2 linked regions of the Oryzias latipes genome follow. The protein of the gene in region 1 interacts with the protein of each later gene in a pairwise test. Links are inferred from orthologs where the notes say so. Each region holds a gene or a part of one and is shown in the gene's direction. Other genes may lie near its edges.

Region 1 (4,964 bases):
TCTCCAGCTCCAGCAGCAGCTCAAGGCCACTCTTGGGCTTTGAGTCCACTAAAGGCTGCTGCGATTCTTTCGGCTTCAACCGCCTCCACGCTTTTAACAGCTGTGGACTTGGGCTGGCACCCGGGTCCTCTGGACTGTCCTCTGAGGGTTTAACTGTCCAGCCTTCCGGATCTAGGGGGTGTTTGGCTGAGTAGGTTTCATTCAATAGAAAGTAGAGCACTTCAATGTCGGTCTCTGTCAGCTGAGCTCCGACTATTTCAAACATCTCATGAAGAGACATCATCCCATAGTAGTTAAGGCACTCTGCTTCATCCCAGTATAAGGAATTCTTCAGTGTGCATTCAGGATAATTCATTGAAGCCATGGTTTACCCCTTTTTTCCAAGTTTCCCACTCAAATAAAACTGTGGAGTTTAGGGGAAAAAGAAAACAAACACAAAAAAATTACTTTAACCATGTTTATGTTTGAAACTTGAAACCAAACAAATGGTATCAGGTTCCTTAATTAATAATTTCATTTAAAAAACGTAACAATTTGAAGGCCCCACTCCGATCATCTTTTAAAATATTTTCAAAGCGTTCCCCGTGTTGTTTTCTAGGAAGGTTTCTGCATAGCGGCAGGAGTTAATTAGAAATTAACCCCCCAGAGTCGTGGGCAGGACTGCTGGCATGGAGTTAGCCCCCCCTTACCACCATCCCTTTACACACTCGCTTACAGCCCCTCACAATCACAACTTCCACTGCACATTAGTGGTGCAACAAAAATTGTGAACAATATTGGAGCTATCCAACCGTACAGTTTTGAGCCAGATGGCAGCTCAGACGAGGAAAATGAAGCCCAAATGTGTCAGAATGAAGCATCAGAATGGAGCAGTGAGGGAGCTTGGTTGGTGTAGTAGCTTCTACGTCACACTTACACGTTTTTTTGCAACAGCTTTTTGCGTCTAATTCACATCAGTTTGCATAAAGAAATACTCAGAAATGCAATTCTAAGCTAAATTTTCATTTTCATCGGAGTGGGTATTTTAATTGTAGCTAGTAGTTGTCATGTTAAGTCTTTGTGTGTACATTGTGTGCCACAAACGAACACTCACTATTTAAGATTTTCTTCAAACTTGCAAGCAGCTACCACCTATAATGAAATGCATCGAGATGTGTTTAATTACTGTCATATATGCCTAGCTACAATTGCTAATGTTATCTTTACCGACTCGGTACCGTTCCTCTGAACAGAGTTATGTAATCAGTAGGGTGGGGGACAACACATACAAAACACACAGCTCTTCAATTGTTCGATTAAAAACACACACACAGGAGCTCGTTGGCAGTTATACTTCACGTAACACCACGCAAAATTAGCAGAAAAACAATTCTAGAGACAAATAAGACGGTCTATTGTTTGTTTCAACGACGGTCGGTGCGACGACATGATGATGAATCCCGCTGAACTTATTAGTCTAGCAGACGCTAAGGCGTCAACTAATACAGCGTAACGTTAAACACGCGCCTTTAAAACACTATTAGGTTACATTTTCCACAAAGAGAATATTCCTAGAGTGCATTAGACCTCACCTTTCAGCCGCGATAGCTTGCCTGACGCTGGATGATCTAGCAACTTCCACAATGCAACGTGCGACGTGACAGTGGCTAGACGTGAGTCGTAAATTGACCAATCACAGCTCTCGGGCTGGGTTTCATAACGTAAGGTCACGTTTTTGCCACACTTAACATACCGATTGTTCCCAGATTGTTCCTAAAAGAATCAAGGTAGTAATCTCTGTCACTTTGGCACTAAAAATGTTTTTTGATTTCTTGTCGACTTCAAAGTTAAATAGAGGAATGAATAAAATATTTTTATATGGTTAAATGTAAGGGAAAAAATAACATCATAGACTGGGGAGTTCTTTGGTGCAACCAGCAGGGGGCAGTGTGCGGCATTGGTGTTGTAGGAAGTTCTTTTCTTCTTCTTCTTCTTCTTCAGCCACATCACATCCGTGAGGACCAACAGCAACAAAACAACTTGGCTTTTTATCCATAACTTGGTCTGTAAGTATCTACATCGTCTGTAGGTTTGACATTTGACACATCACGAAGGTAAAATCTTATGTCTTTTCATTTCAATGTTTATAAATTACTGTGATCTTCGTACAATCAGTTTGATTTAACATGAGACACGAAGAAGTAGGTAGTATTCATTTTATAAAAGTTATTCCACTTATAATTCGACACATATGGACAAATTTGATCCTTAAAAGATTTTTACTTGCTCAAAATGTCGTTTTCTGGCTCAGTTCTCGGCCTTTGTCAGTGATGTGGCAGTGACCAAGCCCTGTTGACAAAAATTTTCCACTTACGAGATCCGCTCCTATGTTTCTGGCCAATCAGGAACAAGTTTGAATTAAAATCTAACCTCTATGCTCTTAAGAATAATGTGGAAACTAGTGATCATGTAGTTTTTCTTTTGTAGTTACTGCTGTTTCTCCATTTTAAACACATTTTATAAAATATATCAATTGTTATTTACCTTTAAAAAATAAAGTAAACAGGTTTTCCTTTCCTTTTTCCTTTTTTATTTATTTATTTAAGTTTGCTTTTGATGCACCTCGAGGAGTGTTACAAAAATCGTAAAGATTGTATGGTTGTATGGTGTATGGTGTTTTATTTCCCATTTAAACAGGGGAAAATAAAGAAGAATCCAGAAAAATTCTGACATGTTTTATAAAGGATACATATCGTTTGTACATTGAAAAATACGAGGAAAAATGCAAACTTCCAATAAGACAATCTTTTTTTTTCTTTTTTTTTTTTTTAAATTAACTTTAGAAGCAAAATGGAGAAACTAAACAAAACAAAATCTTTAAACCACTTGACAAACCCAATGATGTAACAACATCCCACATGCAAACTTGGCATGCACTTATCTGCATGTTAACAGTAAACAATAGGCAAAAAAGGAAAAGAAAAGGAGTCAGATCTTTCCTGAGCTTCTATCTTCCGTTCATTTGTTTACTCAGTTACCCATTGTAGTATTTGGGTATATGTCTTCAGTCATATGTATATATTTTCTATTTTATGATTTTCTATAATTATTATTAATACTTAGGCTCTTCATTAAACAACCTCAAACTCAAAAACGTTAATATTCTTTTATCCCACTTCATCTCTCGTAAAAAACATCTATCTCCATATAAAGGAAGGCCATTTTTCCACACAGTTTTTGGACTATTTATCTTGTGCTGATCCGAAGAAGGGGGAAAAAAAAGTATGTGAAGGAAAAATCTTAAGACTATTTCTTTTATTTTATTTATTCTATTTTCTTTTATTTTCAGGAGAAGGTTTGCAGATGCCATCTGGAGTACCAAAGGGAGAGAACTGTCAAGTGGACATGGACAGCAAGGCTGGAGATCTGTTTACGGCTGAAGATGCTCACCCAACTGGCACGGGTGGAGCTGGAATCCTTTCAAAGTACGAGTCAGTTTTGTTTTTTTTAAAAAGGAGTTTAGTGACCCAAACAACTTTCTTCGGTGATGGACGTGGACATTAAACAGCGTTTGTAGAAAAACCACAGCAATGGTGCTAAGGCTCTGTGAGTTACTGTCTTTACACATCCACTTTTGGGGGTGGAGTTAGTCCTAAATCCTCATCCTCCTGTTCTGTAGACTGTGCCTCATTACTTAAAATTTTTTTTTTTTTAAAGTTTTGTTTTGTCAAAGTTTCTAAGAATTTCCTTAATCAAACTACAAAATACTTTTTTGTTTTGCTCATATTGTCAAAAGTTGTAATGCATTGACTTTTTCCTTGAGAGTTTGTACGCTTTATTACCATTTTACCTTTATTTTGTAGGCTCTGGCTCCCTAAAGGCTTCTCTGCCAGCATGGCCAAGGAGTGGATTGATAGGCGCCGATTGTCCATTCGACCGTGGGCCAGTTTTGTGGACCAACGCAAGTTTTCAAAACCACGAAACTTCGGAGATGCATGCCAGAGAGTGGTGAAAAATGTGGAAACTTACAACAGCAACTACACCTTCATCTTCCTGGGTCTCATCCTGTACTGCATGTAGGTGTAAACCTGAGTTTGCTTTGGCCTTACCTCAAAACATTATTGAAGTTTTATGAAATAACAGATGCAACACTGACTGCACACACTAAGGCCACCGGGATTGAGAAAAGAAAAAGAAAAGATTGAATCAGTAACAGCATTATGAGCCTTTTTTTTTTTCTTTTCTTGTCAGTATAAGCTCCCCTATGCTACTGATTGCATTGGCTGTGTTTCTTGGTGCCTTCTACATAATCCACCTGAAGTCTCAAGAGTCCAGACTGGTTGTTCTTGGTAAGTAAAACAGAAAAACTGCTGTCCTTAACTTGCCTGAAAGTGAAAAAACTTTTTTTCAGAGTTTTTTTCAGCCATGCATGAAATGGGAGAATCTTATAGAAAGCCACAGAGAATTATGTTTTCATGTGTTTGCCAACTTTGTTTTTTTCCAGGCAAACAGCTTAATGTCCCTCATCAGATGGGTCTCGCTGGAGCCTTGTCCCTGCCGGTGTTCTGGCTGGCTGGAGCTGGAGCTGCTGTGTTTTGGGTTCTTGGTGAGATAAACTAAGTGTTTCCGTCATACTCTATGTTCACCAGAACATCTCTTTAAACACTCAGTTGTAAAATTAGAGCTACATTGATATCTCAAGTTATGTTGGTAACCAAAGGAATACTGTTGTGGCAACTTCCATGAACATAGAGAGCTGCTCCTCAACAGGGGTTTAGGCACTTGGTCAGGTTTGGTCAGGCTGGCTTAACCCTTGTGCTATCCTAGGCCCTTTACCACTGGGAGTTGGGTCATCTAGACCCACCAGACAGTGCTCTGAACCTTTTTTCTTCAATGATTTGTGATCTTCATTGGTGTCCATGGATTACATGAAATCTTTCCACCTTTATCCACCTTTGTCATGGTAGGGAGAACACGTCAATGTA
Region 2 (4,507 bases), on another chromosome or scaffold:
ACAAATATGTGACATGATCAGTGCTGTGAAGGCATTCAAAGTAAAGCTCAATTTATACATCCAGCAAATAAAACCAACAGATTTCAGCGCTTCCCTTCAGTTGCAAAGATGCTGGAAGGCGATTCAGGGGCAGATAAAGTGCTTGATGTACACATTGTGATATGCAGTCCAAACTATTTTGTATTAATATGAAGGTTTTTTTTATAAGAACAGCTGGTGACAGTTGCAGAACCAGTATTGATTGGGATCTATACATTTTTGGATTGAGTGCAGCTCATATTCATTGAAAAACAAAAAGAATGTGAGGTTATATAGCAATGAGAGGCTCGTAGAGGCAGAACTGGAACCAAATGTGTTTGATTTCATTGATGTTTGCTGCGTAAAACTGACGCGTCTCCTCTGGATCTCGTCTTGCTTCTTTAAGGATTCCCTCAGCTGAAGCGCAGCATCCTCACTATTGTTGCGCCTCCGGTCTCCTCCTTCTCCCCCCTCCCTTCCCTCATCCCTCCATCCGCTCCTTCTCCAGCACACACCGACCTGCCCATCTCCTCCACGGACACAATGACGAACGAATCCCCGGAGGAGGAGAGCCGAGCTCCGGGCGGCGGCGCTGGAGTCGGGATGGGAGCGGCGCGGAGAGGCCGCGCGGACGACAATGTCACCATCCTGACCTCCAGCATGGATTTCCCGAGAGCCAGCAGGAGCCGGGCCGACAGCGCCAACGACGCCGCCCCGAGCTTCACGTCCTCCGTGGAGCTGAGCTCCTCCTCCCTGGAGACGAGCATCCAGACGCGGATCTTCAAGATCATCGTCATCGGGGACTCGAACGTGGGGAAGACGTGCCTCACCTTCCGCTTCACCGGCGGGAGCTTCCCCGACAAAACGGAAGCCACCATCGGTGTGGATTTCAGGGAGAAGGCGGTGGAGATTGAAGGAGAAACCATCAAGGTAAATTCAGCCAGGAGGGGGTGGATGTTCAGAGGGGGTTTCCTCGCTCCTCCTCATCCTCATCCTCTTCGTGGCGCAGATCAAACATCTCCAGAAGGTTTCAGCTGGGAGGCTGGAATCTGTGTGGCTTTGTCTGCAGCAGAACAAAAACAGACTGTGTCAGTTAAATGTCACCATGTCTGCATCAAACTATAGAAACAAGAAATGGATTATGATGCTCAGTCTGGTAAAAATAAATGTAAAACATAAACAAAAAACAAATAGTTGCTGAAAATTAGTCAAAAGCTGAAAAAAAACTTCCTGCAGACTTAATCCTTTTAAATGATTGAAAGATGAACTAATAATATATCAAACACAAAAAAAACAATCCAATAAGTCCTATCTATTGCTTAAAAAAAACAACTCAAGAATAAAAAGCGGAATTACAGGATATTGGTGTCTGACATGAATATTGGCAACCAGTTTCCTGCAAACTGCAGCTCCTACATACGTCGACTTTGCCTCCACAATATGACGGACAGCAAAACATCATGACATAATGAGCAAAAAAAAAAACGTTCTGCAGATGAAGAATAATTGAGTGAGTAAAATATAGAGCCACTCCAATGAAAATTGTGTTTTGGTGGTTTTAACATGTTTCTGTAGCTTTCTTCTCACAATGGAGGACACATATGAAGAAAATTGAGATTAAAATAGCATTTTTTTTGGCATTTTTTCATTCAAATTGTCTTAAATCAGGAGCAGTTGAAATTTGAAAAAGTTTGTTGTTGCACCGGTTATATTAGGTTGGGGTTTGGAGGAGCTGTAAGCTAGCTGGGAGAGACTGTAAACAAAGCGATGATGATGGGAAATGAGGGAAGGCTCACTCTACGCCAACAATTCTGCCTGCAGCTCAGAGGCAAATTTCTAAGGAACTTCTGGCGCTCAGCAGAAACAATGCCCCGGGAAACGACACCGGCTTTTACCCGTAATTTTAATCATAACTAAAAGACGCCTGGGAATGCTTTAACAAAAGATACAAAAAATAGTATTACAGAGTATTAATAATCTGTTTTCCTAAAATGCACCAAAAATTCAAAAACCTGCACTAAGAAGAGCATTAGCAGCCTTCGTAATCTGTGGAAAAATTATACTTAATTTACAAGTAGAAATGCAGCAACACCAATCATTTTGATCAAGAATGAAAGAAAAATGGAACTGAAACAGAATCCTATTTACTGCACTTGTCACTAAACAAACATATTCAGTTTCAATGCTGTAACTCTAACCTGATATCTGGCAGGTAATTGAAGTTACCGTAGTTAGATCTATAACACTGTTCTGAAAGCTACTGAGGATTCATATTTAGCGTTCATTAAAACAACAAAAAATGTTCATTTTTATCCATATTGTCCAAATCCTTTCTGCCTTAACCACAATATGGATATACCTGGAACTCTGTCTCCTACCTGCTGATTTTGAACTGCAGTCCTCACTGTGCCACAGTCTTTCAGAGAAACTTCTAAATATAAGACCCATTAACCTTTGTAGTTTAAAAAAAAAGTAATTTCTATTAGCTGTCATCTTGGTTTAGTATTTTGTGCCTCACGCCATCCCTGAGCCTTAATGCGCTCACCTCAGGCTCGTCCTCTCGTGGTGAAAGGAGATCATTCAGCAGGGCTAAACTCAGAGCTGGGAGCCGGCTGCTGTTACAGGCAGAGCGCTTTGGTTTGTGTTCACCTTTACTGTAGAGTGTAACCCTTGTGCTATCCTTGGCACTTTAACGTTGGGTCATCTAGACCCCACTAGACAGTGCGCTGAACCTTTTTTCTTCAATGATTTGTGATCTTCACTGGTGTCCATGGATTACATGAAATCTTTCCACCTTTATCATGGTAGGGAGAACACATCAATGTAAGGGTGGAGTCATAGGATAGCACAAGGGCTACAGATGGCAACCTGTTGTGTTATTTCTGTGAGAAAATTTCTTTCAAAACACTTTTTTTTTTAGTTCCACTGGTTAATTCTGATATATAATTTGCTGCTGCAGAGGATTATATCTGCACCGTTTATGTAATAACGTTTTTTATACAGGTTTTATTTTTTAAGCAACAAATAACCATAGTTTTTTTTCTAATTTTACTCATTTATCTGCTGCTGACAGTAAAAAGGAAAACATCATAATTATGCCTGATTGCGTGACTTTTGTAAATCTGCAGTCAGACTTTTGGATTTATTACATATTTTTCTTTAAATTCTTTTGATATTTTGTCACGTGGGCTGATTCTGCTTTAATGCAATAGTTTAAAATTTCTTAAACTCACCAAAATCTTGGTGATTCATGGTGACAGACCCCTGCTTTAGGAATGTAGTAAGTGTATCCAAAAAAGTTTTCTATTTTTGAGATTTCAAGTTCTGTAAGTTATTATAGTAGTGGGTTTAAAGGTTGTCTTTTGGACTTGGTTTTCACATGACAGACTTTAAACCTATTACTATGATGGAATCTACCTGGATGAATGAGAGTCTTCATAGACTTATTATAGACTTATTATAGAAGAATGACAATTTGCCTTTTCGTTTTTTACTATCAAACGTCTTTATTAAATTTTGTGAAACACTTCTAACTTCAAATTGCATTTTTTGTCTTATCATAGCAGGACCTAAGATGTGGGGAGTTTTGGGAGGCAGACTGTATATCCAGAGTTTGCTTAGAGTTGGTGCTAATATGGCAGAGCACAATATTCTCATAAGGGCTGCTGAAGATGTAATACCAGAACTGTTAGTCAAACATCAACAGCAAAAGATTTCAATTTTGGCAGCTTCTTTTAAGGGTGTTTTAACAGCCAAACACTCCAGTTGATTCAGTTTGAAGGGATTTGTTGCTTGGGTTTGGTTTGCATTCACACTAAGTGGAGGGAAAACAACTAGAAGACAATTGGCTAAGCCTTTCCAAGGACATTGTACACAAAAAGCACTGGAATAACAAAAGCACAAAAACACAAAAATAAGCAAGATGCAAAAACAAAACAATGAAGGAGTACCAAGCGCATTGAATATGGTGTTTGAACCTGATAAGTTGAAAATTTGCAGACTGGAGGAGAGTCAATGTTTTAGATGTCAGACAAGAGGGATTTGAACCCATATAAAGCACAATGAGGGGATACTGAAAGATCTGAGGGAGCAGGAAGAGATGCAGAAGATCAGGCAGGAATTTATAGGAAATGTCCTTGAAATGTCCAGAAGGATTCTAAATTGAATGCTGAAATTAACCAAAAGTGGTGAAGTTATTCTTAAGATGAGGGCGATGTAATGGAATGAGCGAGTTTTGATAAAAAGGCAATTGACTGAGGTTTGAACCAACTTGAGTTGATGGGAGAGTTTTTTTTTAAGAAGCTTGACTGAAAAGACAAGAGTAACAGCAGAGTTGAGAGGCTGATAAAAGGGCAATAATGATTGATCTTGGATTTACTGATTACTTATTAATATGCGACTGGAATGATAAACATCTGTCAATGATAAAACCCAGAGTATGGGGAGGAGAGGAGACAGAGGAAGAGTCAATAGAGACTAAGCATTTTGT

What was found.
Region 2: the proteins of rabac1 (region 1) and ras-related protein Rab-33A interact in binary tests that used the Homo sapiens proteins (3 or more experiments, as listed by UniProt). The two-hybrid records come from large-scale screens. The link is inferred for Oryzias latipes from reciprocal best matches to the Homo sapiens genes RABAC1 and RAB33A.

The regions. Positions count from the first base shown.
Region 1 is NC_019874.2:20,935,119-20,940,082, reverse strand, and holds the start of rabac1 (prenylated Rab acceptor protein 1), read left to right. Parts: upstream 1-1,710; 5' UTR 1,711-1,766; intron 1,767-1,980; 5' UTR 1,981-2,045; exon of another isoform or gene 2,046-2,093; intron 2,094-3,328; 5' UTR 3,329-3,342; coding exon 3,343-3,464; intron 3,465-3,842; coding exon 3,843-4,055; intron 4,056-4,230; coding exon 4,231-4,328; intron 4,329-4,483; coding exon 4,484-4,585; intron 4,586-4,964. Other genes in the region: dedd2 (DNA-binding death effector domain-containing protein 2), read right to left, coding at 1-364. UniProt on the Homo sapiens protein: General Rab protein regulator required for vesicle formation from the Golgi complex. May control vesicle docking and fusion by mediating the action of Rab GTPases to the SNARE complexes.
Region 2 is NC_019868.2:25,359,153-25,363,659, forward strand, and holds part of ras-related protein Rab-33A, read left to right. Parts: exon of another isoform or gene 1-526; 5' UTR 527-561; coding exon 562-948; intron 949-4,507.